Lepisosteus oculatus: one gene and its partners. Each later gene encodes a partner of the first gene's protein in a complex. Links are inferred from orthologs where the notes say so. Each region holds a gene or a part of one and is shown on either strand. Other genes may lie near its edges.

What was found.
Region 2: exosc6 (region 1) and exosc1 share a complex: the UniProt entries of both Homo sapiens proteins name them as parts of the RNA exosome core complex. The link is inferred for Lepisosteus oculatus from reciprocal best matches to the Homo sapiens genes EXOSC6 and EXOSC1.
Region 3: exosc6 (region 1) and exosc2 share a complex: the UniProt entries of both Homo sapiens proteins name them as parts of the RNA exosome core complex. The link is inferred for Lepisosteus oculatus from reciprocal best matches to the Homo sapiens genes EXOSC6 and EXOSC2.
Region 4: exosc6 (region 1) and exosc7 share a complex: the UniProt entries of both Homo sapiens proteins name them as parts of the RNA exosome core complex. The link is inferred for Lepisosteus oculatus from reciprocal best matches to the Homo sapiens genes EXOSC6 and EXOSC7.

The regions. Positions count from the first base shown.
Region 1 is NC_090715.1:1,373,727-1,380,876, forward strand, and holds exosc6 (exosome complex component MTR3), read right to left. Parts: upstream 2,282-7,150; 5' UTR 2,240-2,281; coding exon 1,412-2,239; 3' UTR 1,254-1,411; downstream 1-1,253. Other genes in the region: protein-glutamine gamma-glutamyltransferase 2-like, read left to right, coding at 194-347; aars1 (alanine--tRNA ligase, cytoplasmic), read left to right, coding at 5,004-5,147, 5,353-5,541, 6,092-6,237. UniProt on the Homo sapiens protein: Non-catalytic component of the RNA exosome complex which has 3'->5' exoribonuclease activity and participates in a multitude of cellular RNA processing and degradation events.
Region 2 is NC_090699.1:16,729,434-16,737,627, reverse strand, and holds the start of exosc1 (exosome complex component CSL4), read right to left. Parts: upstream 3,875-8,194; 5' UTR 3,823-3,874; coding exon 3,795-3,822; intron 3,021-3,794; coding exon 2,905-3,020; intron 2,702-2,904; coding exon 2,627-2,701; intron 2,291-2,626; coding exon 2,202-2,290; intron 1,282-2,201; coding exon 1,248-1,281; intron 1,150-1,247; coding exon 1,099-1,149; intron 759-1,098; coding exon 674-758; intron 165-673; coding exon 58-164; 3' UTR 1-57. Other genes in the region: phosphoglycerate mutase 1, read right to left, coding at 6,995-7,164, 7,406-7,586. UniProt on the Homo sapiens protein: Non-catalytic component of the RNA exosome complex which has 3'->5' exoribonuclease activity and participates in a multitude of cellular RNA processing and degradation events.
Region 3 is NC_090719.1:14,545,277-14,553,736, reverse strand, and holds the start of exosc2 (exosome complex component RRP4), read right to left. Parts: upstream 3,485-8,460; 5' UTR 3,441-3,484; coding exon 3,319-3,440; intron 2,381-3,318; coding exon 2,279-2,380; intron 1,963-2,278; coding exon 1,917-1,962; intron 860-1,916; coding exon 770-859; intron 217-769; coding exon 151-216; intron 1-150. Other genes in the region: prdm12b (PR domain zinc finger protein 12b), read right to left, coding at 7,220-7,800, 8,279-8,393. UniProt on the Homo sapiens protein: Non-catalytic component of the RNA exosome complex which has 3'->5' exoribonuclease activity and participates in a multitude of cellular RNA processing and degradation events.
Region 4 is NC_090705.1:41,382,905-41,391,119, reverse strand, and holds the start of exosc7 (exosome complex component RRP42), read right to left. Parts: upstream 3,767-8,215; 5' UTR 3,670-3,766; coding exon 3,613-3,669; intron 3,340-3,612; coding exon 3,238-3,339; intron 2,831-3,237; coding exon 2,736-2,830; intron 1,076-2,735; coding exon 910-1,075; intron 544-909; coding exon 473-543; intron 1-472. UniProt on the Homo sapiens protein: Non-catalytic component of the RNA exosome complex which has 3'->5' exoribonuclease activity and participates in a multitude of cellular RNA processing and degradation events.

The DNA of each region.
Region 1 (7,150 bases):
TTTTGCTAATGACCTCCAGTGTTGGATGATTGAGAAAAATGGTGGCCCTTGTACCCCTATTCCCCCATGGGCCTTTATAGCCTGAAAAGGGGACCTCACCTACCTACCCTTGTTAAAACATTTAGCCCTACACAGAGTGCGCTGGGGTGAGTTCTTCGCCTGTCCTGACAGACTCCCTGGCTCTGTCTTCCAGCGAGGAGATCGGACCGGGCCAGACGCTCACCGTGCAGGTTTCCTTCAAGCCCTCCAAGCCCGGACTCCGGACGCTCCTGGTGGACTTCGACACCGACAAGCTGAAAGATGTCAAAGGTCTCGCCAAGGTCATAGTGCGGCCCAAAGCCCAGTGAGAGACACAGGCTGCAAGACTCTTCTTTTTTTGCCTGAGGATATTAACAGCTGTACACTATAAAACCATAAAACTGCCGCAGCGAATAGAATCGAGCAGATTAATTGTTTGCATCTCAATGTGGTCTCTAAAAAGTCTCTGAAAGCTTTTCTTTGGTGTGTAAAAAATAACTTTTTAATGCTTCTGATCACTGTAGGTGACAATTGTTTATACAGTGAATTATAAACTTTATCATTTATACTAAAAGCCATTAAAATATTATATTTGACTACAACTTTCTTTGGGTATATATTCCATCCTCTTCTACCTTAGAACAAATTGATCACTGGAATCTAGTTATAGTCTCAAGAGGGTACTTTTAACTACTGCTATTGGAGCAGATATACTCAAGAGGTAACTAAAATATTTCTGAATCACACCTGTAAGTATACACTGGCAAAACATTTTCAGAAATCTAAAAGGAAATACTGAACATGGAGTTCTGCTTTCAAAGACCATGGTGAACAAGTTTGTAGACTCATTGACAGAAAATAGCCTTCATGAGTCCAAGATTAGTGTTGATCAGGGTCTGTAACCAGTCACACTGCACACACACAAAACTGTCTCTTGATAGACAGACTTCTGATTTACTCAAGAGCTTCATTCAAGTGTGTCAGGTGTCCATTTGAAAGGAAAACAAGTATCTGAATAAACGATCAAGTTTTTATGAATGAAAATAGTTTTGGACAATTCAGGAGGATCAACTCCCACACACACACACATCCATACAAAACAGAGTCGGGAATAATTCCCTGATGTCGGTGTCACTGGATCTCGAGGGATCCTCACTTTCTACGTGTTCAGTGTTTTTGCAAAATACAGTTTTGCGTTTGTCGCACGGGAAAAGAAAAAGGAAAAGCAAACGAACTGACTCACAGGAACGTTTAATAGAAAAATCAGACGGCACAAATCGTCCGTGATGTATATGACAAAAATAAATATCTCGTCTCTGAGAAACGCTTCGCCGACAGAAAGAAGCGCGTCTTCAAGTTCACTCGCTGTCCGGCAGCTCCAGCAAGTTCGCCCTCAGACGGCTGTCGGAGGCGCTTTCCTCCGCACAGCCCTCGCCAAGGCCTGCTGGATAACGGGGTACAGGCGCTGGCACCCCTCGATGCAGGCTTTCACAGCCCCCACCAGCGTGTCCTCCGCCATCTCCCCGTCCGACTGCAGCCCCGACACCTGGTGGAGGCTGGGCAGCAGAGCCACAGTCACCCTGCCCTGGTTCTCTCCAGACCCGGCGGACTGGGCGCCGCTCTCCTCCGCGAAAGTGGGGTCGATGAGGAAGGAGGGCCCGTCCTGCCTCAGCGCGCAGCCCAGGACCAGGTCGTACATCTCGATCCCGGCGTCCGCCAGCGCCAGGGAGGCGCAGGTGACGGCGTGGGCCAGAACCGAGCCGTCGTGCTCCAGCGCCACCACGTTGACCTCGATCTGCGAGCGGGGGTACTTGTGCAGACAGGCTGCGGGCAGCAGGCTCTCCAGCATCCCCAGAGACAGATCCTTCTCTTCGCTGCCCTGGATCCAGGAGCCCCTCTTCGGGCACGAAAACGGGGCGAAGCGAAAGTCACACACCAGCCTGCCGGACTTCATGTCCACCTCGTCCTTCCTGTCGGTCTCCCGTGGTCCGTACACCGAGCAGATCAGCTTCGTGTTCCCCGCCTCGATGTAGGCAGACCCCTTTGCCTGGCTGATCAGTCCGCATCGCGCAAATACGGGCCGCACGTCGGCCTGGCTCCGCTGCCTCCCGTCCTCCCTGCCTTCCTGCGGACATTCAGGCTTCCTGGTGCTCGGGAGGACGAAAAGTAACGGAGACTGAGACTCATCTGGACCCCTCACTCGCTTGGTATCCACCGGCATGGCTGGTGTGGAAATACCATAGACAACAGTGCGCAATAGTCTTTTGTAGATTACACTTCCTGTACACTGCGGGCAGAGGTTCATGGGATACGGAAAGACCTCCGAACGAAGGTTTTGGAGGAGAGGGATGTGCGCCGGATATAATTGCCTTTCCGCGCCGATACGGCATGCAGTATATTAAGTTATTCTAGATGTATGAGTTTCTGTTGTAAATACTGACTTTTCGAGATCATGGCCGTTAGTAATTTTGACGAGCAAAACGTTTTCGTATGACGTCACAACGTTACTTCCCGAGAAAGGGCAACAGATGATAAAATGTAGAGACGGCATTTACAAGATTTAGTTTTTTATTCTAATATATGTAAGTATTTTTTAATCCCGGCAAGCAAGGGATACAAGGCAGGACACACTCGCACCAGGGCCAACTTTCCAAGCTGCCAGTTTGTGTTTGGACTGTGGGAGGAAACCCACACAGGAAGCACACCCAGGAATGGAACCCAGACTCCAAGCACTACACTATAGCAAAGCTAACTACTGTACCACTGTACCCTAATAAGACCACTGCTTAACCAGTAGGTAGGCCAGATTGGAGATGCCCCTGATCTAAATTAAATTAGACAGGACACCAAGATGACACCCTCTTATGAGGCCTATTGTGGGATCCTTCATGACCAAGCCTTAGTGTAAGGTCATATGTGAGGGTCCTACAGCACCGTGCTGCCAGTCACCATACTGGGGCATCGGTTTGCATACTTTGAGCCAGGTGAAAGATCGCCTCCTGCTGGAGTACCAACACCTGTTACAGCAGCAACCTGTTTCCTTCAGAGGGCTCCCACCCCAGTACTGGCCATGCCCAGCTCTGATGAGGTTGTGAGATCTGATGAGATCACGACAAGCCAGCAGTATTGCTGTCCAGCTCTTTGGAGCGTGATCAGTACCCACCCTATTTTTTTCTGCATGTTGTGTCCCTGCGTGTTAAGGACTACAAGCAAAAACAGACTGTATACTGAGCGTTATTTTCTTAAAACTATTGTTGTTTCAAGACCTATGTGCATGCAACGAACATGCATAACATTAGAATGGAAGGTTATTAACACTGCCTTTTTAAAAACTCGTGTTTCAGCTGTATAAAGCCCTGAAAGTCCGAGTACGTGGGCGCCACACCGGGTTAATGACAGATCTGCAGTACGCGCTATGCGCTGCAGCTCTTCCACACGAGCCGACTTACGGATAAATTGCATCAGCCGCACTCGGCGTCTCCGCGCGGCCGAAAATAACCGGTTTGTGCCTCTGCGTAAGACTGACATCCCGTGCAGCCAATCCGCACCGAGAAACAGTTAACTTCCTGCTGCAGCGAACCAATGGCCACCAGGGAAAGGCGGGGCAAAGGGGTAAGGCGTGTGGTTTTGCCGGTGCGAGGCAGTGGTCTGCTGAGCGTGTGGAGATTGGAGGGTTTCAGACTACATGTGAGTTATGTCTACTGTATTGTGCTTCTTTTTTGAGAATTAAAGGCTAGATTTTATGTGTTCGTTCCTAATATGTGTGGTTTTATTGATTATGTATCATTATGATAAGCTATTACGAGCTCTGCCTGGTTGTTGAGGGTTATTTTGGTCAGGTGACTCTAACGTAGCTTCTATAAATCTGATTTCTTTTGTCTGAACCCACATAAAGGTTTCTGATGGATTATTTCTGATGTTACAGTACGAGCGAATGTGAGACATTTTGTTCCGTAACTGGTGGATCGTTCTGTGCAGGTAGAAGATGCATACAATATAATTTGTGTTTGTGACCGTGATATTAATGTCCGACGCTCGATTGCGTCGTAAGCCTGCTGTCAGAAGCGGCGGTGTTTTTGTGGCACCACGAAAACATGATCATTCAGTCATATGTTTCAGCAAATAAAAGTGCAGACGTCATTATTCCTTATCACGTCTCCACAAAAAAAAAAGGCAGTGTTATCGTAAGTAACTACTGTGATTGTACATATATTTGCTCTCAGAAGTAGCGCATGCACTACAGGAATAAAGAGCCGAGAGTCAAGTCCTTGCGGGGTTCAGCGCAGTCTTGCTGTTCGGAAGCTGCAGAGGTGAAGCTCAGGGTAGAGGCGGGCGGGTTGAAGACGCGATCGAATCGATTCCAGCGGTGAGGTGTGACGATTTGGACACTTTCTGCAAAGCCTACACTCGCGAAACGTGGACACCCCCCCGCGGGTAAAAACCATGCAGTGCCCTGTCGCATCACGTGACAGCGCGGCGTGTTTTAAAAGCCCCGCCGAGTCCTCGCGGGGGGGTGTCTGCAGAGCTGCCCGCACAGGCGTGGACGAGGTGCCGCCTGCAGGCCTGTTGCTCGCCGGCTCGTCACTGAAGTGCGTGAGAGCAAGGTGTAAGGGAGGCCAGGGTCACCTGGGGTGTGAGTGCTTGAGCAGTTCAGAGGGAGCGAGGCTGCGCTGTTAACGTGCACTATCGTGTGCTCTTGAAGTTCATTGAGGAGAGAAGCAGGTATAAGTTATTTGCAAGAAGGCAGCGCTCGTTTCTCCCTGCTTGTGTGCATCCAGACGAAGAGCTCGACTGTGACGTCATTCTTTGGCAGTTTAGTCTTTATTGTGTCTGGGGAGATTTGCTGCAGCCCAGCTGTTCCCAGGTGGGCTGTTGCTGGGAACAGGTTCCGACAGGTTGGGGAATGCCCCGGGGGCGCAGGCCTGCCGCCCTCTCTGACCCCGCGCGCCCCTCTCTGTCCCGCCCTTCCAGAAGCTGCTTCCACGATGGACTCGTCGCTGACGGCCGCGCAGATCCGGGAGAGGTTCATCGCCTTCTTCCAGAGGCACGAGCACCAGTATGTGCACTCCTCCTCCACCATCCCGCTGGATGACCCCACGCTGCTCTTCGCCAACGCCGGCATGAACCAGGCAGGTGTCCCCCCGGTCACTGAGCACCCACGTCCGGGTCTGGGAACCCCTCGCTCTGCAAGGGCGCCCACAACTGGAGAAGGGGGCATGCCTGCGTCCCTCTCTGGCACGAGCGGACTCTCGTTCTTCCTCCCCCGCGTTCTGGCTCTGGTCCCCTCTCTCGGCGGCCTGTCCTCAGTCTCCCTCTCGCTCTCTCCCCGCGCAGTTCAAGCCCATCTTCCTGAACACCATCGACCCCGCCCACCCCATGGCCAAGCTGCGCCGCGCTGCCAACACGCAGAAGTGCATCCGCGCCGGCGGCAAGCACAACGACCTGGACGACGTGGGCAAGGACGTCTACCACCACACCTTCTTCGAGATGCTGGGCTCCTGGTCCTTCGGGGACTACTTCAAGGTGAGGGGCGCACCCCGGGAGCCCCAGTCTGGAACCCCCAAGCTGCAGCTTTGCTAATGTTTCTAGTTTATTCCATCCATCCATTTTCTAGCAGCTTTATCCAGCTCAGGGTCGATGGGAAACTGGAGTCTTTCCCAGCAGTCAGTGGGTGCGAGGCAGAACACACCCTGGACTAGACGCCAGTCCATTGCAGGGCACACACAGACACACACACTCACGTCGGGGGCAGTTTCCCAGAAACCAGTTAACCCACCAGCATGTCTTTGGACTGTGGGAGGAAACCCACACAAACACAGAGAGAACGTACAGGTCCAGAACTGAGCCCAGGGCCCCAGCACAGCCAGGCAACAACACTAACCACTGCACCTCCCTTGGCATTCCTGGCTTCTTTTTTATTCATTATTTCTTTAACCCTTTGTCTTGGGGGATTCTTACTGAATCACCTTCCAATTTTATTTTTTTAAAATAAAAACAGCTGTTTGTCAGCAGAGGATCTGCTGGGAGGGCCCCCTGCTGTCCGAATGAGTCTGATTGTGTCTGTCTGCTGTAGCACCTGGCGTGCCAGATGGCCCTGGAGCTGCTGACGAAGGAGTTCGGGATCCCCATCGAACGTCTGTACGTCACTTACTTCGGAGGGCACGAGGAGGCGGGCCTGGAGCCGGACCTGGAGTGCAGGCAGATCTGGCTGGACCTGGGGTGAGTGTCTCCTCGACGCCTCCCTCTCTCCTCTTCCACCCTCCTGCTCTGCCAAGTGAGCTTTCTGGGATGGCAGCCCAGAAAGGGAGCAGCGTCCGTCATATTCAGTATCGGTCAATGCGATCAGTCAGTTTTTTTCTAATATAGCACCTCAATCCAGGGCATTCTAGATGAATTATACCATATCTGGTGATAATAAGTTACTAGAGTTTCAAAAATCTCATTTATCAAGATGTTGAACAGGAGGAACTTTGTCTTTTAAGATTTTCCCTGTTGTCTCTGTGTTTTTTCAGGTCTTTTTGTTTGTGAAATTCTGCACTTAAACAATTTGTAGATGGATTTTGCTCCCCTTTATCACATTTCTCCTTGAAGACAAAAGCTCACCTCTCTGTCAGCGCAGCTTTTCAGATGTGTGTAAAAAAACCAAAACACTGAGTTTCTGGACTCCTGTGAAAACTAGAGAAATCCCCCCTCCCCCCCATCTCAGAATTAAATAATGGTCTAACGTAGCAGGAGTCTACAGAGTCTTATGGACTGGTGTCTCAGCTCTGCTGTCCAGACACAGCAGAGTGTACTGGATCTGGAATGGTCAGTTTGACCTACTTGCAAACTGGCAAGCTCTTCGATATTCCAAACCTTTCTGACTGAAATCTGAACCGGTAGCCCTGACAGTTTAACAGTTCCAGACTCGTCCCTGGAAATTGCAAATGTCCCTGACTGTTTCTCATGTGAAACTGTATTTTAGTTTTTAGCGAACGAGTGTGGCACTGCTGGACATTTCAGCTCTTTTCACCTTCCTGTTGGGCGGGTGGTTCTTGCTCTTCTGGGGAGAGGTCTGAATTGTTAAATGTGGCAGTGGCCGCTGTTTCTGCATGGAGGCCTTCAGAGCAAGAGCGATTCAGCCTTTCGCCTG
Region 2 (8,194 bases), on another chromosome or scaffold:
CAGCTTCACGGTGCTGTGGGGCCCGGGGCCACGGGGGACAGACGGCTGGGGGCCTCCTCACGCCTGGAGGTACTCCGGCTGTACCCTCGCCACCTTCCGGAACTCCTTGGCATGAGTCCGCGGACACTGCATCTCACACCAGCTGATCGGCACCATCTGCTCACCTGCGGGAATACATAAGGGTGTAGAACTCTCACTCCGACAGGGTTAACACTCCCGACCTGGCTCGAGAGCGTTTTAAACAGACGCCTACCATTATACGTGGCATCCCAGAAACAACCGAAAGGCAGGGATAACATTATCAGGAACAGCCACAGTGCCATAAATGGGAGCATTTTGTATGATTACAATGTGATCGATAATGGTCACTAAATCCCCAGTCACAGTAATAACAGAGGGGTAACCATGTCTTGACCAGGACTTCAAAACCCTATGCAATACTGTTGTAATTTGGGGCACTATGAGAAATGCAGACATCTTCTGAAATCTGCATGCAGAGTCCTAAGGCCAACTGAAAGATTATATTCATGGTATTCTCTCCCTCAACAATTCAGAACACCATTCTATTCTATTCAGTCAAAACGCACAATTTGCAAAACTGGAATGTGATTCATCCGTGCAGGTAAGAATCAGTTCAAAGTCAGCAATGCAGGTCCTTTGAAAACATACTCACCTGCTTCACTATGTGCTACCACCACTCCCAGCTCATTCTCCGCTGTGGTGAGAAGATAGTTGGACTGGACATCACCTAGGGAGATCTGCCTAGTGGTCAAGGGCAACACAGGTCAGACAGAACTGGAATCACTGTGCTGTGGTAACCGAGAGGCTCAAGCCTGGATCTAGAACTTAACAGCACAAGACATTATTCAGAACATTTTGTACAGACATACAGGTCAGACTTATTACTACTCAAGCTTTACATCTCCATTGAGCCCTTTATTCACAATACCGCTAAAAGCTGCACTGCATGCAGCGTGCGCTGACTGCCGATGAACCCATCGGCAAACGCGCAGCTCTTGTTAATGTTTTTTAGAAGCATCAGAAAGGTGTCGAGCAACAGAGGGCTGTTGTCTGCCCTTCAGCATCTACAAAGGATACAACTTTGGCTAGAACGATATCTCCTGGTCGGAAACTCTTGTAGATCTCCACCTGATAAAGAGTAAATTTACAGGTCATGGGATTGGGAAACCGGAAATAAAGGCACTTATTGGATATCAATGCACTGCAAGTCAATTTGAAAATAATACCTTGTCCTTTTCTGTAGCTCTCACATCTTCCTTTCTACAAAAAAAAGTATTAGAAATTTAGATTCTGTACCAAAAATACCTAAATGCATCACACTCACAGAAACATGAGACGCCAGCGTCTTTCAACTTTCCATCAGTTCAGTATTGCTTAGAAATATTTTAATTCAGGGTCACATGGGAATTTGCCTTATACTGTGCCAAAAAATAAGCAGCACTACTCTGTCGTACATGACAGCGGCATTTTACCACCTTTGTGATGACAGGGACCAGCTTTCTTCCTCAACCTGGGCTTTAGCCTTAATGTCCTGGCTATTTTCATCTGTTTTCATATAGTTACATTTATGTCTGTAAACTTATAACTACAAAGCTCACATGTATAGAACGTTTATTTATTTGTTGTAGTTGTTTAAATCGTTAGCCCAAGACTTTGTGCATTGTGTTAACATGATGCAAACAGGCAAGAAGAATTGGCAAGACTTGAATGAAAAAACACATGGACCGATGGAAATTATTCAGTAGAGTCTCCAAGCACCAAAAATAAATGCAAATTGTTTTTAGACTAACAGTTCAAATACAGCAGTTGACAATGAAACAACAGTGTTTTCTAAGGACAAAAAATGCATAATAAATATTCAGAAATTATGGTCATACACACAAAACCTGTCCGTGTGATGTGGATTTTTCACATTTCACTCACTAATAGAACAGAATATAAGTTCACTATGAATGGAAAATTCAATTGTGAAATTACATACAAAAACTCAATTTGTCCATAAAAATTATTAACTCTCACATAGCATTGCAAGGAGACAGCCATGGACGGGTCAGTGAGAAAAATGTATCACAAGAACAACACATATGTTATGCATTATTAGGGTATTTACAAAGTAAATAAAAGTATATGCTAAAATATAATTTGAGACATGTTACTTGAAATGTCATTGCTCTAGTTACCTGATTGTTCCTCTGAATCTGTCCTTCAGTGGGGTGGATCCAACATAGAGGATCTGGACCTTAGCAAATCGTGGGTTGATGCTTGTAACCTGTTGGCAAAAGACCTTCACTCCCCTGGAACTATAATGTTGACCAAGCCTCTTTCATAACACTAACTCCACAATCACCAGGACAAAAATGACATTCTGTTTCACTGGCACTTCACATCTATAATAGGAATTTTCGGCTATTATCTACAACTTAAGATATTATTAGTCTAGGGTGGCAAAAAAAACAATAATACCAAAATACAAATGACCAAAAAAACAGTGAGGTAGGCTTATGTTAGTATTGCTATGCCTGTGCAGCACAGAGCAAACCGAGGGATGTTAGGACAGAGAACTTCATACTTCTGTGTAAAACACCCTGGAGGACAGAGCTCCTACCTTGCATGTGACTGTAGCGCCAACATCAGGCAGCAGCTGAGCCTCACTCTCCTTCACCACCGAGACCACAGGCATCTGCAGAACACAACAGCCAAGACAAATCTCCCATTGCTAGAACAGTACTCTTGCACCATCACAAATGCACAATCCAGTTTCAATGACCATTTACAGATCTTTCTGGTATATTTTAAACCATTTTCCTCTGCACACGCAACACTTCCTTCCACACTTAGGAGATGCACTTGGAGGAAGTACAATTCTTCCACACTCTCACCCACCTCCTCTCCCGCGTTCTTCCTCAGCACATAACCAGCGAGGGAGGCAAAGATGTAGCCATGACGCAAGTACGTTCCAGGCCCCGGGACACACTCCTCTGTGCTGCACAGCCTCTCTCCTGCGGGACGACAATATTTACAGGCAACCACTGCTCAAAGTCCAGCCCCAGAGCAACAGAACAATCAAACAATGCTGTTTATACTGTCAGCATCACTTGAAAATAACAACTTTCAAGTGCCAACTTTAATAAGGACGGGGTCAGAAGACGTGGCTTAATGGTTTAAATGTCTACTTTATAAATGGCGTTAAGCTTCAAAAATAGTCTCTACGACGTACCTAAGACACGAATTTCGTCAGGATGATGTAACTGTCGGTAAAGCGAGGTTAACTTTACAAACTATACTAGGTTTAAGTGTTTGGCTCCTGATGGATTGCTTTGATACTGCTACTGTTTCTAATGTTATACCTCACCATACACCGAGTCCTTTCAATACGACTTTTAATTTATCATTCAATTGCAAAGTTGTTCTGCAAGACAGGTATACCCATACTCAGTTTCTGGCATCACTTTATGAATACAGCTACCGAAAACAGCAACGAAATGTGCTATAACCTCTGTTGCCCCGAGAGACCTACCCTTACTGACAAAAAAGTGTTATATTAAACAATGTGGCTCAGTCAGGGGATCATTTTCAAACTTTTAAGAATTACTATGATTTTTACTTTAAAAACTCACACAACATTTGGTGAATGAACTAAGAATCAATACAAGACAAGAAAGTGAAACCCTGCAGTCAAAATGTATCCATGTGTGTATTAACTGCTGTCAGGTCCAGACGATTCAGTCATTAAATACATTTTATTTCACATAACGTTTTTAAACCCCACGTACCTGGCACACACAGCGTCTTAGGAGACATGTTTTCAGAATAGAATAAGAAATGCTCTGATTGGCCCACACGGCAGAAGCAACGAGTCATCTGATTGGCCAAAGCTAAGAACGGCTGTTCTAGATTAAGCTTTTTTAGTGGTTCAGTGTTACTGACTTCCGGTCGAGTAAGAGACCTGTGACCTGATTGCGAGTCTATGATGTGCTTTTAATTTTACCATGGCTACATTTTGTTGTATTGCAAGTTATGTTAATCTGAATACACCAGTTAACAGAAAACATGGAGTAAAATCCCACCTGTAATTGTACAGTTCGAGTACGTAGCTGCTTCAGAATGCGTAGGCTGCAAAGGGGCAAGTAAACGTATATTCCACGCGGAAACATTACGGTTCGGCTGTGGAGCCTTCTTCAGGTGTGATATTGTTAAAGCCACACCTGAAGACTACACGGCCGAAACGTTGCGTCTCTTTTCTTTTCCTTTCAACATGGAATAAACCTCTACCTGTGCCTAAATGTACAGTTGTTTTAAAAGCGGAGATCGTGACGAGCAGAAGAGTATCACCTTTAAAGATCTATCTATGCAGGCTTTATGAATGTTTTTACCTTAAAGGAAAGTTCTGCTCTGACAGGCTTAAATCACTTTCATGTGTCATTTTTCAAAAACGTTCTGGAAGCACAAATGCATTTTATGTAGTCTACATTTTGAGAGCAGTAGTCACGGATACCTCCATGTAATCGAGCAGTCCCGTCACGGTCGTCCACTTGTCTGTTCACTATCTTCTGTCTAAAATTATTTTCAGGATTGCATTTTTCTTTATGTGCTCCTCTACTCTAGTTAAACTTACACTACTTTAGACGTGGCTGAGAAGCTGACCTGTCTATAATTCCTTAATTCAATTTTGTCCCCGTTTTGGTATGAATGGTAATTACATTTGTGATTTTCCAAACAGGCAGGGTACCCTGTACTCCAAGTGTTATTCGAAATACTTTTTCAGAAAAGCGGGTCTGGTCCACATGTAGTTTGAACGTCAGACACCTCCTTAATTTATCGCCGGATTAAATCGTTTACAACCAAGATGGTAATTTCACCTAAAGCAAATGTTTAATTCCCCCATTTGTGAACACCTGTATAACCGTTTACTTCTTCCACTCCGCTCTTCTGGATAATAGATGTGCATCCCAATTACCCTTTGTTTCTTTACAGCTAAACTTTGCAAAGGATAGAATACAGTTCAATCCATCCAATCCATTTTTTAAATATTTTCCTATTTTAGTATTTTACATATGTCCTGTGCATTACCTAACCGTGTACGAGCTCCATGGATCTCAGACCCCATCTTCATCAGTCCTCTCAGGAAACACACCAGAGCATAACTAATTTTACTTTCATAGGTTTCATGGTAAATACTGTAATGCCAGCGTTTTTGAGGACGCGTTTAAAACACAGGATGAATTATGTCCAGCAGAGGGCACTCTGACCACACTTCTCCCTGTTGAAAAGCACCTTACAGGAGCACTCAAGACCTTAGCAGAGAATATCTCCAACAATTATTTTAATTCTTCCAACAAATAGGTTTCTCTGGCAAGTATGGAATGATACTATTAGTGATGTGGTATTTATGAAGACTACAGATCAGATTTCAATGTATGTTTAAATCTTATTTCAACTAGAAATTTTCACATTTTTATATAGCTTAACAGGAGTATATGGAAGTGCAAAAGAAAAAAATCATAAACATCATTTTATGAGATAAGTGAAAATAAGGGACAAAAGTCAATACAATACTGCACATCATAGGATTTATTTGTTTTACACAAGGGGTTCAGTGTACATCAAAACAGTGCATTGCAATAAACCCTAATCAAACTGAAGCTCTCTGAAGAACCACTGGCAGCAAAGCCACATGAACACTCATGTGAAGAGCAGGGGCAGAGTATCCTGCACACATACAAACTGAGGAACAGGGGCTTTCACCTGCAGAACCGAAGAATGCTGCAGTAACTGGCTGCTTATACTCCTCTCCAAAGCCAAGATTCAAGACAGAACTAACAATCAAAACATCAAGATTTAGACTGGGTCTTCGGTAGAGGAAGACAAACTGGAGAAATGTGTTAGTTCGTGTCCTACCTCAGCAGCCCTTTTATTTGAAGCAGAATCTGTTACTGTGTATGGAAAGGCCTTGTACACAAAGCAGATTCACTGGCTCTCACTGTAGGTGCTATAGGTGACGGATTCACACTCGATGTTACACTGGGTTCAGAGACAGGGGCTCCTTATTTCTCGCTTGTATGCGCTCAAGCTGCAGAGCCCACTCCTCACGGGAAACTGGCAGGAAACCTACACACAAACAGCGTCACAATGGTGAAAACTACAGACATACCAGCATGTGACGGGAGGGAGGGAGGGAGGGAGGCAGAGGTGCCCAGGTGGCAACAGCTCTCAGGAGCTGACAACAGGGATCGTGGAATGAATCGAATGCAAAAGCATTGCTCCTCGTGTGCCGGTCTGTAACCCAAAACCTCAAAATGTGCGACATCGGAATGACTACAGCGCACACAGAAGTTGCTGTGAAAAGTAAACCTGTGAGAATGAATTACAGGGCACATTCCAGCTTTATCCAGCAATAATAAAGCTTTGTGTCCAAATTTTGTTTTCCCTGTTGCATATTTACTTATACAGGAGACAAAATGAAAAGTCTGACTTCCCTTTTAAACTGGGCCAAGGGTTCCCTTTGAAAAGTTGTCAAATTCTTTAATGGCATAAACAAAGCTTCATATGTAAAACGAATTTGTTCATGAACGCTTAAACAAACTGTAAGGATTATCAATGACCTTTTTCGAATGAAGAAGCTAGGAGTCAGATATTGCAGGTCAAGAAACTGTTTGACTGAGCTACTGGTCCCTTGTTTGAGCTTTGGTCTACATTAGTCTTTAACATTCTCCTCATCCTACCCTGTCCATCTTCGCGTATGACAAATTTAACAAGCCCGCTCTTCTTGCTTGTTACCTTGAAGAAACCCTCCAACTGTCCTGTATCAGAAAGAAAGTAAGAGAAGGACAATGCTAAATGACCTGAGCGAGCGCCGGGAATGAAACTTGTGATGTGTGGTGTAGAAGGGAGGTTTGCGTGTGTCCTCCGAGAGCAGTGGCACAGCGCCCCCCTGCCAGGAGCCTCCAGCGTTCGTGCACAGGAGGCTTTCTTTTTACTTCTTGGCCTTGCCCTGGGCAGCCACCGCCTCCATGGCCTTGCGGACAGTCTCCTCGTCGCCCAGGAACTGCATGGGCTTCACGGGCTTCAGGTTCTTGTCCAGCTCGTACAGGATGGGGATGCCCGTGGGGAGGTTCAGCTCCATGATGGCCTCCTCCGACATGCCTGTCGACACAAGAGCAGCCTGAGTAATGGCATCCTGCCACCACCGCCGCGCCGCCGGAACAGCTCGGCCGGCGGCAGGTCGAAAACAAATCCCGAGGCCAGTCAGGCATTACGAGAACATCAGAAATAAAGTACCAGTTTTGGTGCCACAAGATTAATGGGAAAATAGGTTAAATGAAATGTAGCTGCCATAATATTGAAACCCTGCCCTAAAAACAGAGCGTCCTCGGCGGGTACATACCCTCTAGGTGCTTGACGATGCCCCTCAGGCTGTTGCCATGGGCAGCGATCAGGACCCTCTTGCCCTCCTTGATCTGCGGGACTATCTCCTCGTTCCAGAAGGGGAGAGCTCGGGCGATGGTGTCCTTCAGGCTCTCGCAGGAGGGCAGCTGGTCCTCCGTCAGGTCAGCATAGCGACGGTCCTGCCGGAAGCAGGGAAACACAAGGTCTCTCTGGGTGCTCGTATAATGGTACACTGAAGGAGTGATTTACAGCAGGCCCAGGGCTGGACTGAAGAGTCAAGGTTAGAAAAGAAGGTAAACATCAGTACGCACGTTCGTTGCTAAAAAAGCAGAGGACAGGTCCGGTGATGGTATTTTGTGGAGACCCGTGCTTCAGAAGGGCTAGTTTCCAGAAGATATAGTAGACAATGAATTAGAACTCTGGCCTTGGCTGACAGAAACTGCCAAGAAACATTCTGGCTGTGATGCTGAAACTCAAACTTCATTACAATACCGAGCACCGTTTAAGGACTATAAATAGACAGCCTGAAAATAAGAAGAATTCAGATTCAGTGCTCGAACAGAGCACCTGTAATAATAAATCAGAGAATACCGGCAATCTCAGTCTGCCTCTGCTACAGCTAAACTGACTCTGGTGTGTTGTCATGTTTGAAAACAAATGTATCAGCTTCAGTTCAGTTATAAGTCCTTAAGGCTCATTGAATAGTTTTTTTTTTCTTTCACTTCAGTTGTTAAAAAGAAATATTTCACAGCAAGTCAAACTGTTCTGGTAAAAAATAATTCTTTAA
Region 3 (8,460 bases), on another chromosome or scaffold:
AGCTGATCGGTCACGTTGCTCTGCGGACACAGTGTAACCGCGTGCCTGGGAGTACTGATCCTCTCCACTCACAACCAGATGGCAAAGCCGGGCTCGATCACTTCATCCCACCTGCAGCGCTACTTATATTTCCCGAAGAAGAAAGGATACACTGATCAGGTCTCCTTCTTGCAGGTAGTCTCTCATGGTCAGCTCATCTTCTGCCGATCTCCTTCTCTGAAAAACACCCAACAGTTAGGCCTCATTCCCTTCACACATGGAGGCTAATTTCATATTTTACAGTGCCCCTGAATAGCTCAGCTGCAGAAGAGTGCAGCCTGTGTACATTTGTGGCAGATTTCCAGAGTATATGAACAGACATCGGCGACAATCATTCCCAGTCAGCTCAGCACAATGTGATGCAAGCACTACAGGGGTAGGGCAGGTTGTACTTCGCCCAGGGTTTAGCAGTAACCCATACAAGCCCGTTACCTCTGCTTGCTGTGTGATCACACCGAGCTGCACCGGTTTCCACTTAAATCTGCTGCTCGGTCTGTGGGTCTGCAGATTAAAACTGCAGGCCATGTACATCCACACCTCTCTTGGGTCTCTTGGTGTCCCATCTTTTTGGATTCAACACCGATCTCTGTTGTCTGCCCGTAGCATAGTAAAACTCCCAGGGAAATTGTATTTTTTCCCACAAAACAATCTCCTGGCAAGTCCTGCACAGCGACAGAGACATGCCAAGTCCCCGGCGCTCTTCCTGCTGGGGGCAGCCGCCTGGCCTTACCAGCTCTCCCCCGGGGAGGTTCACTGAAGACAGCAGCAGCACGGAGTCCAGCCGGGAGTTCGTCTCCACCTTCCACCGCTTCTGCTGAACCTGCAGAGACCGGCAGGCGGACGTTACTCCCCGTGGGGCTGATCTCCGCCCAGAACACCCCAGCCCCTAGGTCACCCCAGGAACCTCCGAGACTTCTGGGATTAACTAGCCGAGTCGCTTTAAGAACAAAATCAACTCTAAATGCCAATACAAGGCACACTACTGCAAAAGGCCTCTGAATAGGTCTTCCTGCACTGCTCCGAAGAGAGTGAGTGGAAAGTCACTGCGCTCCCGTTACGGCCAGCTGCTGAAATTAAGTTGCGAGAATGCCTAAAGTCCATACAGAACTGCTGCTGCGACAAGGAATCCGCACACGAGGCTACAGTCTTGCATGGGAACGCACAGAAAGCACGGCAGTGATTCAGATGGGCCTGTTTTTTAGAATGAGTCCCACTGCATGCCGCCTGCTTCCGATGGGAGAAATCTGCGAGTGATGACTGTCTAAGGTGCTTCATAACTTTGACTATTCAGCATGGAGGCTGCAGTGTGGTGGTATGGGAGTCCATCGTTAGGTCTGTGCACATGGGTTTCTGTAAAAGCCAGGGGCACCATGACAGCACTAGACTCCCAGTACTGACGGAATGCATGATGATGCATCACATAATGGCGATTTAAAAAGAGGAGTGATGAAAATACATTACAGCTTTCTTGCAGCCCTGAACTAAAACCTACCAAATGGCCTTTAGAAATGAGACCCAGAAGAGCAAATAAGGAAGAGACTATGGACAGCAGAAGCTGCAAAAGAAAGGCGCAGTATTCATTTGAATGGCTCCCCGGCGTGCTATGGAAGGTATTCCTTCTACAACTGCAGTGGTGATCAAAGCAAATGGCGGGCATCGCCCTGTTCGGCACACTACCATCCTGTCCTTTATCCCGTCGGGCTTTTTTTTGCAATAAAGCGTCCGTTCGACACGAGATTAACTTACTCACCGACGGCTTGTTGACCACCGATTCGGCGGAAGATCTGCGAGTGAAACGGACCCGTGCACACTTGTGCGCTCCTGTGCACCAGCACCGCTCACCACAGCACACCCCACCTTCTCTCGCCGCCACGTACCTCAGTGACCCGGCCGACGACCACGTCCCCGACTTCGCCGTTGAACCTGGGCACAAAGACGAGACGCACACAGGGAAGGGTTTCTGCCTAGAGCCTAGAAGAGCTGGCGAACGCACCAGGTGGGTTCCAGGCCGCCCTTTATCTGGACCCTGCCCCCACCACAGATTGGAAAAACACTCGTTTCATCACGCAGCCCCCAGCCGGGGAGGGAGGTGAAGCTCACGGTCACCAAGGAGATGTCCGCGGCCACGTCTTGAGTCGTCTGCGGACACGAACTCGCCGACACGCGCCAGAGCTAAGGCACGAAGACGGCAGCACGCCCTCCTAAGAAACCGCGGGCGTGGCGCTCCGGCGGGGCTCACCTCGTCTTGAGGGGTCTCACACAGATCAGCTTGTTGACCCTCTCCACCTCTCCAGCCACCGAGGCGGTCAGCTTCTCTTCGTCCATGTAGGTGCCATGTCCCCTGCAGGGAGACAGAGCGCAGACTCAGAGATCAATCCTTTTTTCCATCTGTTTCATCCAGTTCAGGGATGCGGAAGTGCAGAGGCAGGGTACACCCAGGACAGGACACCAGATCTTCACAGGGCACACAGACACAAACATATGCCCACTCACACCAGGGACAGTCGTACTAGACACCAACTCACCTACCAGCATGTCTTTGAACTGTGGGAGGAGACTGGAGCACCAAGAGAGAGAACATGTAAAATATTTTACCAATACTACGGTTGCTTTCAAACGCCTACACCGAGGAACGTCTTGTGATCCGTGTTGTTGGTGAACGACGCTGCGTCAGGACCGCACGACAGCTCTTCCCACATTTCAGGATGAAGTTAAGGGAGGTAAAGGATCCCGAGCACAACTAGTCAATGTGAAACAGCACATAAAACCCCAATCTCTAATCTCACTGAGCTACCGTAGTCCACACTAAACGGCACACTCGAAACGTTCCACCGTTGTTTTATCAGCGACATCTGCCGGACGAGTGTACAACAACAAGCGAGAAATCCTCTACATTAAACCAGATAGCGTTTTCTCCGCTCGTTAATCCAATCTTTACATGAGGTTTAAGGGTTTCATCTGTTTTTTATCTCCTCCACCCTAGGTGACCGTTTTTCAAAACCAAAAAACAGTCAATCTGCCAGCGCTACTTAAAATGCTCTTAAACCCACTGACAACATTAAAGAAAGGTAATGTCAACCCTAACTGCTCAGCTTTCATTCAGCTGAAAGGTATGGTCAAGGCAGAAACTAACTCAAACAGATCTGCATACATTTCGGCGAAAATTAACACAACAAACTTTATTCCTGTTATTTTGCAGAGAATACACGTGTACGTAGACATCAACTTCACAAAGGCCTCTGCGAACAGTCTGGAAAATATTACAAAACCTTCAAATACCTCATGAAACCAGTGTCTGTAGTAATGACATCTCCTGGAGCTACAAGATGTTTTTCTTCGATTGCAGATAAAGAATCTGTCACCCGTTTACGTCCACTAGGTAGTCTGATATCAACAGCCATCTTCAATTCCTCTGTGTGCACACGGTCGCGGCTCTGTTCGATCACGTCACGGCGCTTATTGTTGACGTCATCGCTCTCCGGGCACCGAAATGCAGTGCAGCACTACATCACAATAAACTTTTAATGAATTAATCACCTGGACGTATTATGTAAGTTTTTTACGTACTCGAGTGAATAAAGAAATCTACAAATACACGTCGATGTTAGAATAAAACAGCGAAATTGAGTAAATCACTTCTGAATTATAAACTTGAAAACTGAATCTTCTTGTTCACTGATTCAAGATATTTATTTAATAACGTGAGTTATATCTATATAGATCACTGTATAGAAAACAACAAGTCAGGGAAAAATAATAACAATAAAAAATAATTCTCGCCTGCAGCTCACAACGGGCAGCCCCACTGAAGCTCAGCAGGTGAGCCTGGTCAGTACCTGGATAGAACACCTCCTCGGGAAAAACTAGGATTGCTGCTGGAAGAGGTGTTAGTGGGGCCACCAGGGGGCGCTCACCCCGCTGTCCATGTGGGTCCTAATGCCCCAGTATAGTGACGGGGACACTATACTGTAGAAAGGCGCGGTCCTTCGGATGAAACGAAAAACCGAGGTCCTGACTCTCTGTGGTCATTAGAAATCCCAGGGCGTTTCTCGAAAAGAATAGGGGTGTAACCCCGGCGTCCTGGCCCCAAATTTCCCCCTGGCCTTTACCAGTCACGGTCTCCTAATAATCCCCATCTCTGAACTGGCTCCATCACTCTGCTCTCCTCCCCACTGAGAGCTGGTGTGTGGGGAGCGTACTGGTGCATCATCCAGGTGGGGCTGCACACTGGTGGGGGTGGAGGGGATCCCCATTACCTGTAAAGTGCTTTTGAGTGGAGTGTCCAGAACAGCGCTATATAAATATAACTAATTATTATTATAACAGATCCCAGCAATTCCATTAATACAAAAAGTATCGCGAATTTACTGCCTCCTCTAGTGGACACTTAGGGAAACGTAAGTGAGTTTGGAAGGACATTTTTTTGGAATAATAATTGTATCTGTTTCATTTACCAGGAATGATATTCTTTGTTTTATATGGGACGTTACATTTTGCTTACTGTGTGAAACTCACATGATACCAAATACTAAGGTGTCGGCCTACATGTCTGAGCAATTCTGATTATTATTATAAGTATATAAGTGTAAGCAATTATTATTAGTAGTAGTAGAAGTATTATTATTATTATTAATTATTATTATTATTATCTAAAGTCTTAAATAGGCAGCGGCGTCAGCATGTGTAGGCTGCAAAGGAACAAGTAAAGGTTTAGTCAATGCTGTGAAGTTTCGGCTGTGGTGCCTTCCTCTAGTGTGGTGGACAGAGGAAAGCCAGCAGGAGATGAAGCTGGGAGTGGACAGGAGGCAAGAGCAGGAGAGAAGCAGTATCACTGCCCAAGATGGGCAAAGTCGAGAGAGGTGTGAAGTCAAAGCCTGCAAATGAATAGAGAGGACTGGAAGGAAACGAGTCTGTCGGTGAGAGAAGGAGAAGGTGTGATCCTAATTTCAGGATAATCTGGGTTTCTGATGTCTTTCTGTGATAGTTTGAAAGAGTTTTGAAACCGTTTTTAAGTTTTAATCGACACTTCAATGAATTCCTTGAGACTTGTGTTTGTGTTGACCTTGACAAGAAAAGAATAACATTTTCACAGGTCTCTACGCAATATGAGAAGACAATATAAAAGCAAAGGGCGATATACCACATATCAAATATAGTGGTACAATGCACTGCTAAGACCACGTTTAGATTACGGTGTTCGATTTCGATCACAACACTGAGAGAAAAGGTTTTTACTGTTTGGCAATCAATCCAGAGAAAAATATCCAAATACCAGGATCAAGATTAGGAGGGCATGGTGGGTCAGTATTAGCATTGCAGCCTTGCAGCAGTGAAGACTTGGGTTGAGTTCCTGGAGAGATGTCTGTGGGGAGCTTGTATGTTCTCCCCGTGTGTGCATGGGTTTTCTCCGTGTGTGTGTGTGTGCCCTGTCATGGACCAAGCTTAAAATGACTACACTGACAGGCTGAAGGATCTGGACCCTTTTAGTCTTGAAAAGTGAAGACTACACCTGACATGTTCAGATTGAAACATAAACATAAGAAATATAAGACAGAGGGCACAAGTGGAATCAACAGGAAAGTGCAATTGGGACTGAGAACAGGAGGCATCTCTATACACAAACAGTTGCAGAAGCATGGAACAAGCTACCCAGGTATATCAAACTCCCTGGGTTCTTTTCAGAAACAACCGAAGGAGATCCTCCAATAATTAGCTACTGGAAACCAAACGAACCAGATGAGCCAAATCTCTCAGCTTCTTTTGTCATCTTTCATATCTTCTTACTTTCCTGGCTCATAATCTTCTCTTAGCGCTTCAATAAGCCAACACTGAAAATGTTTAGAGGAGTTCTGCAATGAGTGCATATTGGTGGTTTTGAAGAGTTACAGTAATAATACTTACCTGAATGTTAAAAAAAAAAGATTGAAATAATCATGGGTGTTTCATGAACACAAAATTATGCATGTAGTAGTTTATTTAGAATGCAAGATGAAAAGTACAAAGTTATTTACATCTGCATACATATACTATTAATATATAATACCAAAGTGTTGTAAATACTGTTTTACATAAATATGTACATACATAAAGTGACTATTTAGTGGAAGTATAGCACAGTTTTAAAATTATATTTACATTTCATATATATTTTAATCATTTTATATACATCTTCTGTTTCTTACGATTCTTTTTCTCCCGTACAGGAAGGGTTTCATACAGGTGTGGAGACACTAGGGGCGCACCAAGCCACACAAAAGCAAAGGAGCATCGCAGCTGAGAGCCATCGGAGAACGATAACATCCATCAGAACAGTTTGAATACAAACTTAAACCACATCAGCTCGCCGAACACTGTGTGTCATTTCTCATCTTTTCAGTAACCATTATGGTATAGAAGAAGTTCTTATAATGTGTGTGTTGTTTTAAAACAGTAACATATTCTGAACAAGATCTAGAGAACCGGATGCATTAAACAAAACAGCATTGTTTTCTCACACAATGTAGCACATTTTGTATACAAGAAGTATACCACCAATTTTCCCATTTATACCCAAGGTATTCTAAGAAACAGTATGTCTTTGACATACCTACTGCAATCCATAATTTGACTGACAGTTGTTTTTATAAAAAGTTTTCTTGTTAAGACATATAGACAGGTTCCATTGTGTTTCCAAAAGAGAGGAGAGCAATTTAGCTAACATCTAATCCTTCATACATACTGTATTTAGCACAGCTGTCACTTTCTAAAGCATGGGAGAAAAAAATTCAGGCACAGCGCACCCCCCTGCCATTAATTGTACCGGTGCTTAAATCGACTACTGTTTTTCAAAAGTCCGCTTTAAGCTGATGCGCAAAGCTTGCGGCAGCGCGAAACCGAACTCCTCGCGTCTAGTCAACGATTACAGGTGGCGGCGAGAGGTCTCATCGCTGAAATAACGTGCCGGTCCGTGAGTCTCTCGGAGCTGCCTCTTGTCCGCGTTCACATCCGCCGCGTAGCACTGCCCGGCCTTCGGGTGAGCTTGCGTTTACTTTCCCTTTCTGCCAATGCGCACAAGGTTAAAACGTGGTCATGTGCGACCGAGACGCGGGGCCAGGGCGACGCGGAGGCCGGGAGAAAGCGAAGCCTCCGCGTGTCGCCGGGGTTCGCGACCTGTTTCTCTGGGTCCCCAGGCTCCCCGCCATCACAGGACCATGGTGGGGATGTGGTGCGCCAGGGACACCGGGTGAGGCACGGGGGGCATCTGCGGCGGCGGGGGCGAGTGGGCCTGCAGCGAGACCACGGCCCCGGTGCCGGAGGGCCGGTGCCGGGCGCTCTTCTGGTGCGCCCGGAGCCCGGCCAGCTGCGAGTAGGCGCTCTGGCACACGTGGCACTTGTAGGGGCGCTCGCCCGTGTGGAGCCGGACGTGGTTGCGCAGCGTGGAGGACTGGCTGAAGCGCCGGTTGCAGAAGCGGCAGACGAAGGGCTTGTCCAGCGTGTGGATCCGCATGTGCGACCGCAGGTTGCTGCGGGAGTTGAAGCCGCGGTGGCAGATGACGCAGCGCATGCGGCTGGAGGCGGCGGAGGACGAGGAGGAGGAGGAGGCGGAGGAGGAGGAGGAAGAGGAGGCGGACGAGGAGGAGCCGTCACACAGGTGGAAATCGTCTGCAAGGGGAGAAACGGGCGCCCAGCCGTTAATCGCACCGTCGTGTGAGAGGGCTCCTGCTAAATCCAGACTCCTCTGACGCAGCTTGCGATCGAGCACAGCGGCGGCGTCCTCTAGAGCTGTGTAGCGGTTAGGAGTGTCATCGTGGCGCAGATTGTATAACACCACAAAAGAAACTAAACTGGCCATACCATGCACCCATGTGACTTAAAAGTCCGCCGCTGGGACTTAATTTCGGAATAACGTAGCATTAACGCTTCAAAAAGCGGGGTTCAAGTAGGCAACACCGCCTCACAGACATCTTTGAATACACGACTGGGGGAATGCTACGGGAATGCCCTTTGCTCAAAACAAGAAGAAAAGCACCTCGCGATTAAAAGGCTTAATCACAGTATCTCAGAAATCTATGGCCCCAAAGACAAAGGGATTTGACTAGATAGCATCTTTCCTTTCAGCAGCGAGACCCACAAGCGAGGCAGGAGCAGTTTAAAGGTAATAGGCGCGAGTGCTAATCAACTCTTTGTCACACGGAGGGCCCTGATAGCGATCAGCCCTGCTCGGCTTAAGCTCCTCTTAAGCTCTCAGCGCAGTACCTACCGGTCTTCTGCTTTTTCTGGTGCTCGTCCTCTATCCCCGGGACCCCAGGGATCCCCAGGAAGGTGTTGTGGGAATTTCCGTACCACACCAGCAGCTCCTGGTCTGGGGGGATTGTCTGCCCAGGAAAAGAAAATAATACTGAAATCATGGCAGAAAAAAAGATGCCATACACGCTTTGTGGA
Region 4 (8,215 bases), on another chromosome or scaffold:
GAAATCCCTCCAAATCTCGTTGTTTTTCTGAAACCTTATCATGTGGAAGCTCATTAAGAACTACATGGAACCAGTAACTTGAGAGGCTGAGGGGAAGAAATCTATTCTCAATCAATAATGGGATTGACGATTTTTCTATTTTAGAAATGTAATTTCTTTTTCATCAGTTTAAACACTGTACTCATCCAGGTGGATGCTGCACATTGGTGGTGGTGGAGGGGAGTCCCCATTACCTGTAAAGCGCTTTGAGTGGAGTGTCCAGAAAAAGCGCTATATAAGTATAAGCAATTATTATTATTATTATTATTATTATTACTCGCGTATTACAAACCTAGACTTTACATATCATTTAGGAATAGCCTAAGTATTACTATGACATGAGAGGTCAACTCATAAAAACTTATCTTTGGCACAACCATGCACGTCTTCACAAACCGCTGACATTACAACTGGAACACATGCATTGCCTTACCGTGTGTTAAAGAGGGCTGCTTTAACTGCTACAGAGATGGCATCATACAGGTTTCCATCACATTGCAGCAGCTGGAAAGCAAACATTAGAAGGAGCTTTCAGATGCAGCACCTGGCATTAGAATAAACTCTTACAACAGTTCTATTCATTTGTGCATAAAGAGGTTTTTATGAGTCTCCACCCTAAAACTCATGTTTACAGCGGCAGAAACAAGTCAAGTTTGACCACTGCAAATGCACACCACTTTAGGAATGACTGAAAAAAAAAACATCGGAATACCCTGCAAAGACGAATATTTAAATCAGGGAAAGAAATTACCAACTATAACTCCCTCTCCTTGAGAGACGAAAAATAAAGGCAGTGTATCTTTAAACCTCTTATAAAGAGGTGCAATGCTACGCACTGAATTTCCGAGGCTCTGGAGCGGACGTACTCACCAGCACATCCACATACAGAATCCAGCAGTGCTCCTTGGGGCTGATACAGAGCGCCCGCAGGTCAACGCTGTGGCGGTTGTTGAACACCTTGTACAGCGTGTTACTGATCTCGGTGCCGAGGTCTTCTCCCCCTCGCCCTTCAAACTCTGGGGTTGCGTTTGCCGAGCTGAGGAGCAAGTTTTCAAAAACACGTGAAGATTTGTAGCTCGAACCAGCCCTTAAATCCTGGAGATTTCAGGAAAAGACAAAACAGTTGCGTACAAAATGGACTTACCAATATTGCAACAACCACTATCTGCTACTATAGCATCGTTAACCTTCTATGTTCTCAAAGTGACTCTACTTTGCTTTCCCCTCTTGTCCTTTCCCAGCGTGCAAGACAAGATGTGGAGCAGAGGTTTGAAGAGACGGATTTCTCTGTGCTGGGCAGCACAGCAGTGAGGACTGACAGCTCTAGGACTCTAGGGTTGATCCTGGCCTGGGGCAGCTTCTATTTGGTTCTGCAAGCTTTGCAGGTGTTCACATTGATTGTGCCCAGGTGCTCCACTTTCCTCTGGATGCCCACAGACAAGGCGACAAGGTGTCTCTGGGTTCTATGTGTATGTGTGCAGGAGTGAGCGCGCGCCTCTCTCTCGAGACTAGCTCGCTGTCCAGGATATAATCCTGATTCTATCTAAGCAACACGGAAGTCCTCTGGGTCAGCCTCACCAGGAATAATCAGCTTTATCATCAGTGTTGGAACTGAACTCAGAATACACTCCCAACATTAGAAAATGTATTGTTGTGATTAAATATTTGTCACTTCACCCTCTGCCTAAAGAAATTCAGAGTTAATCTGAAAACCATTGATTACCGGTCCTCAGAGTGAGAGAAAACATGTCTGTTGACATTAAAAACCAAAATTCTGTTTCAAAGACTTTCAGCAAAGGCAAAAAAAATCCATTTTTAATCCTTTACCTCCACCTACTGGTTGTGTATACGAAGTGTATTCAGTGGAGTGGTTCTTAAATGACAACTGTTTTGATCCAAAATCAAAATAAACACATCCTGGTACGCCTTTGTGTCAGCACTAAGGCCTAACAGCTGACGCTTCAGAAAAGGGGTTTTCAGTCTTATAGACCACCACAGGAGACAACTGCTACCGGCTGGCTTTTCTCAACTGCACTAGTAAAACTGTGTTGTGGCTCGAAATTCCATATCTAACTGAGGAAGCTTACAGAGACAAATGTTCTCTGAAGTAAAGTTAAACTACTTGGATTACACACAGAAAAAAAACATCAGAATAATTTAGCAAAATTTCAAACTCATCATTTGCACCTGAGCTGTGCAGCAGAGAATTTGAGTATTGAATGCAACAGAGAATTTTGACATTTTCATTGAAAAGATAACTTTGGTAACACTATCAGCATTTCTTTTTTCGCTTTATCACTTAGGAATAGTCTGTGTTGATTCAAAATAAAAAGTCAAATTTGAAAGCGTCAGGTTTACCAGCTCGGATATAAAATGTGGAATCCTTCAGGATACTTGTGCAAGACTCTCTGTATGCTCTTAAAATTGAAGCAGAACTACGTATTTTCAGTTATGGTACACTCAGATTCATCCTTCTACTTATCATACACTTTTGAAGAGTTAATACTCTAGAACTTTTTAATATTCAACTGTCGTAACTGTAAGTACAGTGTAGAATTCATATTACTACTGTCACAAGACATTGTGAATTATTTTTACTTTTTAAATTTGCACTGTCAATCTGTGCAACATACAGGACCCAGTGAGAGCAGTGGTACTGTGCTGAAAACTGCTGTTTGGAATAAAAAACAACTTACCAGTCAACAAAAAACTCCAGAAACCCTTCATCTGGCACCATGGGCCTCGGTCTGCCAATCTCTGCTTTGATTCCCACAAGGATATCCGAGTACCCCTGGAGAAACCAAATAAACATCACACCGCGAAGGAGCAAGTAAAGGTTTATTCCCTTGAGAAAGCTTGGGATCCTATTTCAACTCACACTGCAAACAGGCTTATACACTGCTAAATGAAGTCTGAAGCAACATGTGATGTAGAGAATGTGGCTGAGCACAATACTCTCTTTTGTCACTCTGTCTGGATAACTCAGATCTCCGCAGTGGTGTTCTAAATGAAGTGTTATATCTTCATCAACAATTTACCCATAAGCAGCAATGAAAAACATGGAAACCTCCATATTTTTATCATGAACACACACACCCCCTTGTCACTTAGCTCATTTGTCTGAGCGCAGGGAAGACAGTGAGACGCACAGCTGCATCGTTGCCTCTAGAACGAAGGCAGACCGGATGTGTTATTTACCAGTTTAACTCTGGCGGACCCGTCGGTGTTGGACACTACATCAGTTTCAATCTCCATGTGTCTGTAATCTTCACAGCCCCGCCCATCCACTCGCAGGTCATCCTAAAAAAAATACAAAAATAAATCGTGCACGTTATTTTCCAAACAGGTTTCTAAAATCGCTTTCAGCGTGAAGTTGTTAATCGGCTACCGACTGCTTATTACCAACTGGGTTTCTACATAAGCACTGAAAACAGGTTACTCTCACGGCGAGAGAGAAGTTGGTTTGCATTTAAAGCTCCGTTTCTCCCGCTTAACAAACTCACACACCAAAATTGAACACCCACCCCCCTCCCAGCAAAACACAATTTCGTATAATTTTATAAGGTAACTCACCCGAACACCATGCACGATGTAGACCTTCTCTGCTTCGCTGATCTGCACAGTAGCCATGTTTTCTCCGCACCACGTGTGGCCGGGACAGCCGCTACCTCATCAAACTGCGACACGCCGGGGGGGGGCGCGCCAGGTCGGTCCGATTGCGCAATGCTGTGAGGATTTTTGCGGACTTGGAAAAACTGTTGCATATGCTGGCAGCCCTTTGCCTTTCAACAGCCTCCGGGGGGTAATATACCAAGAAGGACGCCTCGGAAGATTTCGCACTGGTGTGACTGAAAAAACGGGAAGGAAGGGTGTTGTTTAGCTGGAGTTCGGGGCGCAGGAAGCGTCGCCTCTTCACGCACACGGCGCACTTCCTGGTTGGTTACTTTCGCTTGCATTGGCTTGGCCAGAGCTCTCCAGATAGTACAGGGACCCTACCGACTGCACCGTCGAGCAGGGGCATGGTGATGCGGAACTGCAGCCACCTTAATCTATGGGTTAAGGAGGAGTAGGTCGGGCAAACCGGCAGTTAGTTGCGTGATAAGACACACGCACAGCGCCTTTGGTTCAGAAGGGAGGCGCGCATCGCGGTTCGCCAAGGTGCGCTGGCAGCGGGAGGCAGCGAGTGTATGAAGCTGACATTAGGTTTTCCATCGCGGGTGTTTCTGACAAGGAAACAACATCTGGCCGCCTGTGCCTTAAACGTGCAACCCCCCTTCGTCCTTTGAAAGGTGAGTGCAGACCAGTTGTTCGGCTTAAACTCGAAATCTTGCACAGTGGCGGTGGTTTGGATTCCTGTAGCTGAAACGACGGCTCGTTTAAAAAAAAAAAAAAAAAAAACATGCCACCTTTGGCCAGTCTGCGTTTCCTCCCATTATAAAATAGCGCTAGCGTTGTCTGAGATACCGCAAAATAGCCTTTGGAAGTCGAGCCCATGCCGCGAAGGTGGACGGGTTTGACGTCGGTTTCATCTCGAAGCGTAAAGGTTGGCAGTCTCGGGGAGACATCGTCGCGTCCACCCCACTCGCGCATTCCTCCCAGTTTGAAGAGGAGTGACTGCGGCGATATGGCTGGCGGTCTTTCCAGTTCGTCAGTCGGCAGCTTTTTGTCGTGTCAGGTTGGCCACCATCTGTGGTGCGATGGAGTGTGTATCACCATAGCAGATCCATGTTACAAGTAATGTAGAAAGTGTAACAGAGATATCGTACAGTGTGTTTACCCCCAGAACCCTTATGGAATGCCACTACAGCAGACGTCATTTTAATGTGTTTATCTTGTGCTGGGAGTCTTCACATTGCTGTGATATAGGCTGATGTTGCTAACGTCTTCCACAATGCTAAACGTCCACAATGCTAACTAGTTTTTAAACTTGAGTGCTATTTTCTTACTGTAATTTGTTTGTGAATAATATTCACGATGCATTCAGTAGTAGTCCCACGAACTTACAGGATAACAAGATTTACCCTCCACTTGGTGTTTTAAAAGTATAGATTTTTTACAAATAAGTATAGGGGTGCAATGAAAATGTACCACTTTCATAACGGTAGCGCACTGGGCTTGTGCACTATATTATTCACATCTTAATTAAGAGTTGAGATGATTTGTTGATTGAGTAGTATTCGTTGAGAGGGCGAAATACTATCAAGTCGTTTGATTTAGTAAAAGGCCTGCTGTTTAGTATTTGTGAAGAGTTAAAAGAATCAAGATGAGCTGGCAACCTGTATAAACGTGATTTAATTAACGCAAGAACAGTGAGATATATGACCCTGCCCTGCTGGAGAAGTGAAGATCCTCTGGTTGCCGTCTGCATGATTGAAGGCTGTAGGAAGAGCTGATCCGCAGGAGAATGGGGCTGGCAGCTCACTAGTTGAGAGAAACCAGGAAACTGGCTCTGTGAGGGACAGCCTACAGCCCGAGAGGCAGGGGGGCACCACGCTGGCCGGGACTGTGGCGTCCCATTGCGGGACTGTCTTCAGGTTGGGGGGGCTCCGTCACTGGAGGAAATCCTGGAGGACGTTGCAAGCATATCGGCAGATGTTGTAGCTCCACACGTGCACGAAAAAGATCCGCGAGTGTGAAGGCTGTTCAGGCATCGTCTCCCGAAGGTGCCAAAGAACACGCGAGGTGGCAGCCGAGGGGGTGTTAAGAGTGTCTTACTCACCTGGCGGTTTCACTCTTGACAAACCCGATGGAGGGGTGCCCACATGGTGAGCTTCGTGTTGAGTGTTGCTCCGGCCAGGTGTGACCAGCTGACTTCCAGCTGCTGGAAGCAGCTGCAGAGGTGTGTCGGATCATCCCACAGCGGACTGTGCAGAGGCTGATCAGGTCCGTGCATCATTTGCTCAGGACAGTTGTTCCCACTGCTTCCTTTGCAATATTTTCATTTTGACTTTGTGGCATTTTCTCACCTTTTAGTCTGAAAAACCTTTTGCATTTCTTTGATCCCATCACATTTTCTGTGGTTTGTGACTAGATCAGTTTTAGAGCTGTGTTGCGTTTCTTTTGCCCATCGTTACAAAATTGTGCTGCACAGTTTAAGGTTTGTTCCCCAACGCTACATTTTCCTGCACACGGCACACTTAATGCATGCCAGAGAAAACGCTCTGCAGTGGTTTTGAGAATTTTGTATGTATAGCAATGTGTCCATGTGGTCAGCATTATGTATAGTAAATTTCAAAGTACATTATTGAATACAGGGAAACATTTGCACAATTGCACATTGTGAATTTATAGATTTTGTTTAATTTGAAAAGTTGCCTATAATGCTGTTGGATTATTTGCATTATTAATCTTCACTGTAATTGTAGAAGAGCCGTGTTTCCGGGACAGTGACATTGATAGTCGCACAAGGCCTGTGGTCTTGCAGGGAAAAAAAGCTTTTGTGTGTGTGAAGTACTTGGTAACTTGGTTCATTAGCCAAAGGGAATAGTGCTTGGAGTCTCTCAAAGCCTGAAGAAGCCAGCCTCGCACAGACTGCTGTCTGCTAATTAATCATTTCTAGATGATGTATAACTCTTATTATTCGTAATGATTGTTTGGCATTAGCCGGGATTCTGACATTTAAGGAACTGAGTTACTTTTATGAGGAGCATTTGAGAGTTCTGCTGCTGGCTTTGAAACGTCCGCAGTTCTACTATAGCAACTTAGTAATATTACTTATTAATCACGTTTTTTACAATGTGGTGGTCAGTACCGCACTCTCTCCCCCTTCTTTGTGACGAGGTTGATCGTAGGAATTCATGTTTCACGTTACAATTCTTTTGACGATCAAGATATAGTTTCAGCCTGATTTAAGAAATTCTGCTCTGACACTGCATCTGTTGGCTGTATTTTTTAATGTTGCTGGTTGCTCTGTCATCTTCATTTTAAGTTTTTCCCCCTTTGAATTATTGAGCTTATTTTAAATTATTGTTTAAAATCATCAATTATTGAAAAGAATCTGCCTCTTCTGTTGGTAAGAAAGAATTCCAACCCATCTGATGAATGCATTAGTTTTTTATTTGGTTTTGAATTAGAATGTGATCTTATTTTGTTGTCGTTTTTTTTTGTTGCAGTACCATTGTTGTACGTATAATAGTGTTTCTTCTTTTGTGACTGTGGCCTGAGAAATAATTTACCTTTCTGTCTATTACATTTGTCCCTTTGGTGAAAGTGACATTGTAGTCTGGCATTTCTAGTTCTTAGTGTTTACCTACTATCGTAGTCTAGTTCTTAGTCATATACCCTTCCCTTTGTGTGTACAGTACACAAATATGTCCCTTGTAGGTTCACAGAAAGGCACCTACAGTACCTTTACAATCTGGCTGCTTTTTAAAGAGGGAGATATAGAATATCATAACAAAGTTCAATAGTTCAATTTCTATATGTTACTAGAATGAGAAAGAATGTTCGTTTTGCATATCGGTTTTATTTTTGATGAATTGGTCATTAATGACTGACCCTGGTTCACTCAAGTGACTTTGACGCTTTCATAAGCATGAAGTCGCCTCATTAGTGAGAGGGCTGATTGGGCACAGGCGACGAGCTGATTTAACCTTGTGAACGTCCGTTGTTATGAAGAAATCCCAAGTGACGCAAAGGCAAAGGTGTTGCAGGAACAGACCAGCCTCTTTCACAATAAATCGCGGTTTGCGTTGCCCACCCTGATGTATATTGGCGAGCATGGTGCGCACAGGCAGAATGATGCACTTGATTGCTGGTCCCGGTGTGATGCCATTGGTGGTGATTTTTTTAACAGCCTGACTGCATGCTGCTTCACTGCTCATGTTCTGGGATGCCACTTGCAGTCCTTCCTGTGGGCTCATCCTGGTGCAACGATATGACAGCTGAGTGGCCTTCCTGGGAGACGAGTGTGACAGTTCAGTCCAGGTTATTCTGTCGTATGCACAAGGGCAGTGGAGTGCTCTTTCGCATGTGTGCTCCAATGCAAAGACATTAAGGAAAGGCCAAGCCTAAACACAGAACGCCAGCAGCAACAGCAGCAAAGGTAACGCACACTCAGCTGAAATAGGCCCCCTTTTTCTTCCCCAGATTTAGTTCTGCCATTTTGAGACCGGTCTTTGCAAAAATGCAGCCGATCCGGGAAAATCAGGATCCTGTCTCTCAACAAACGAAAAGA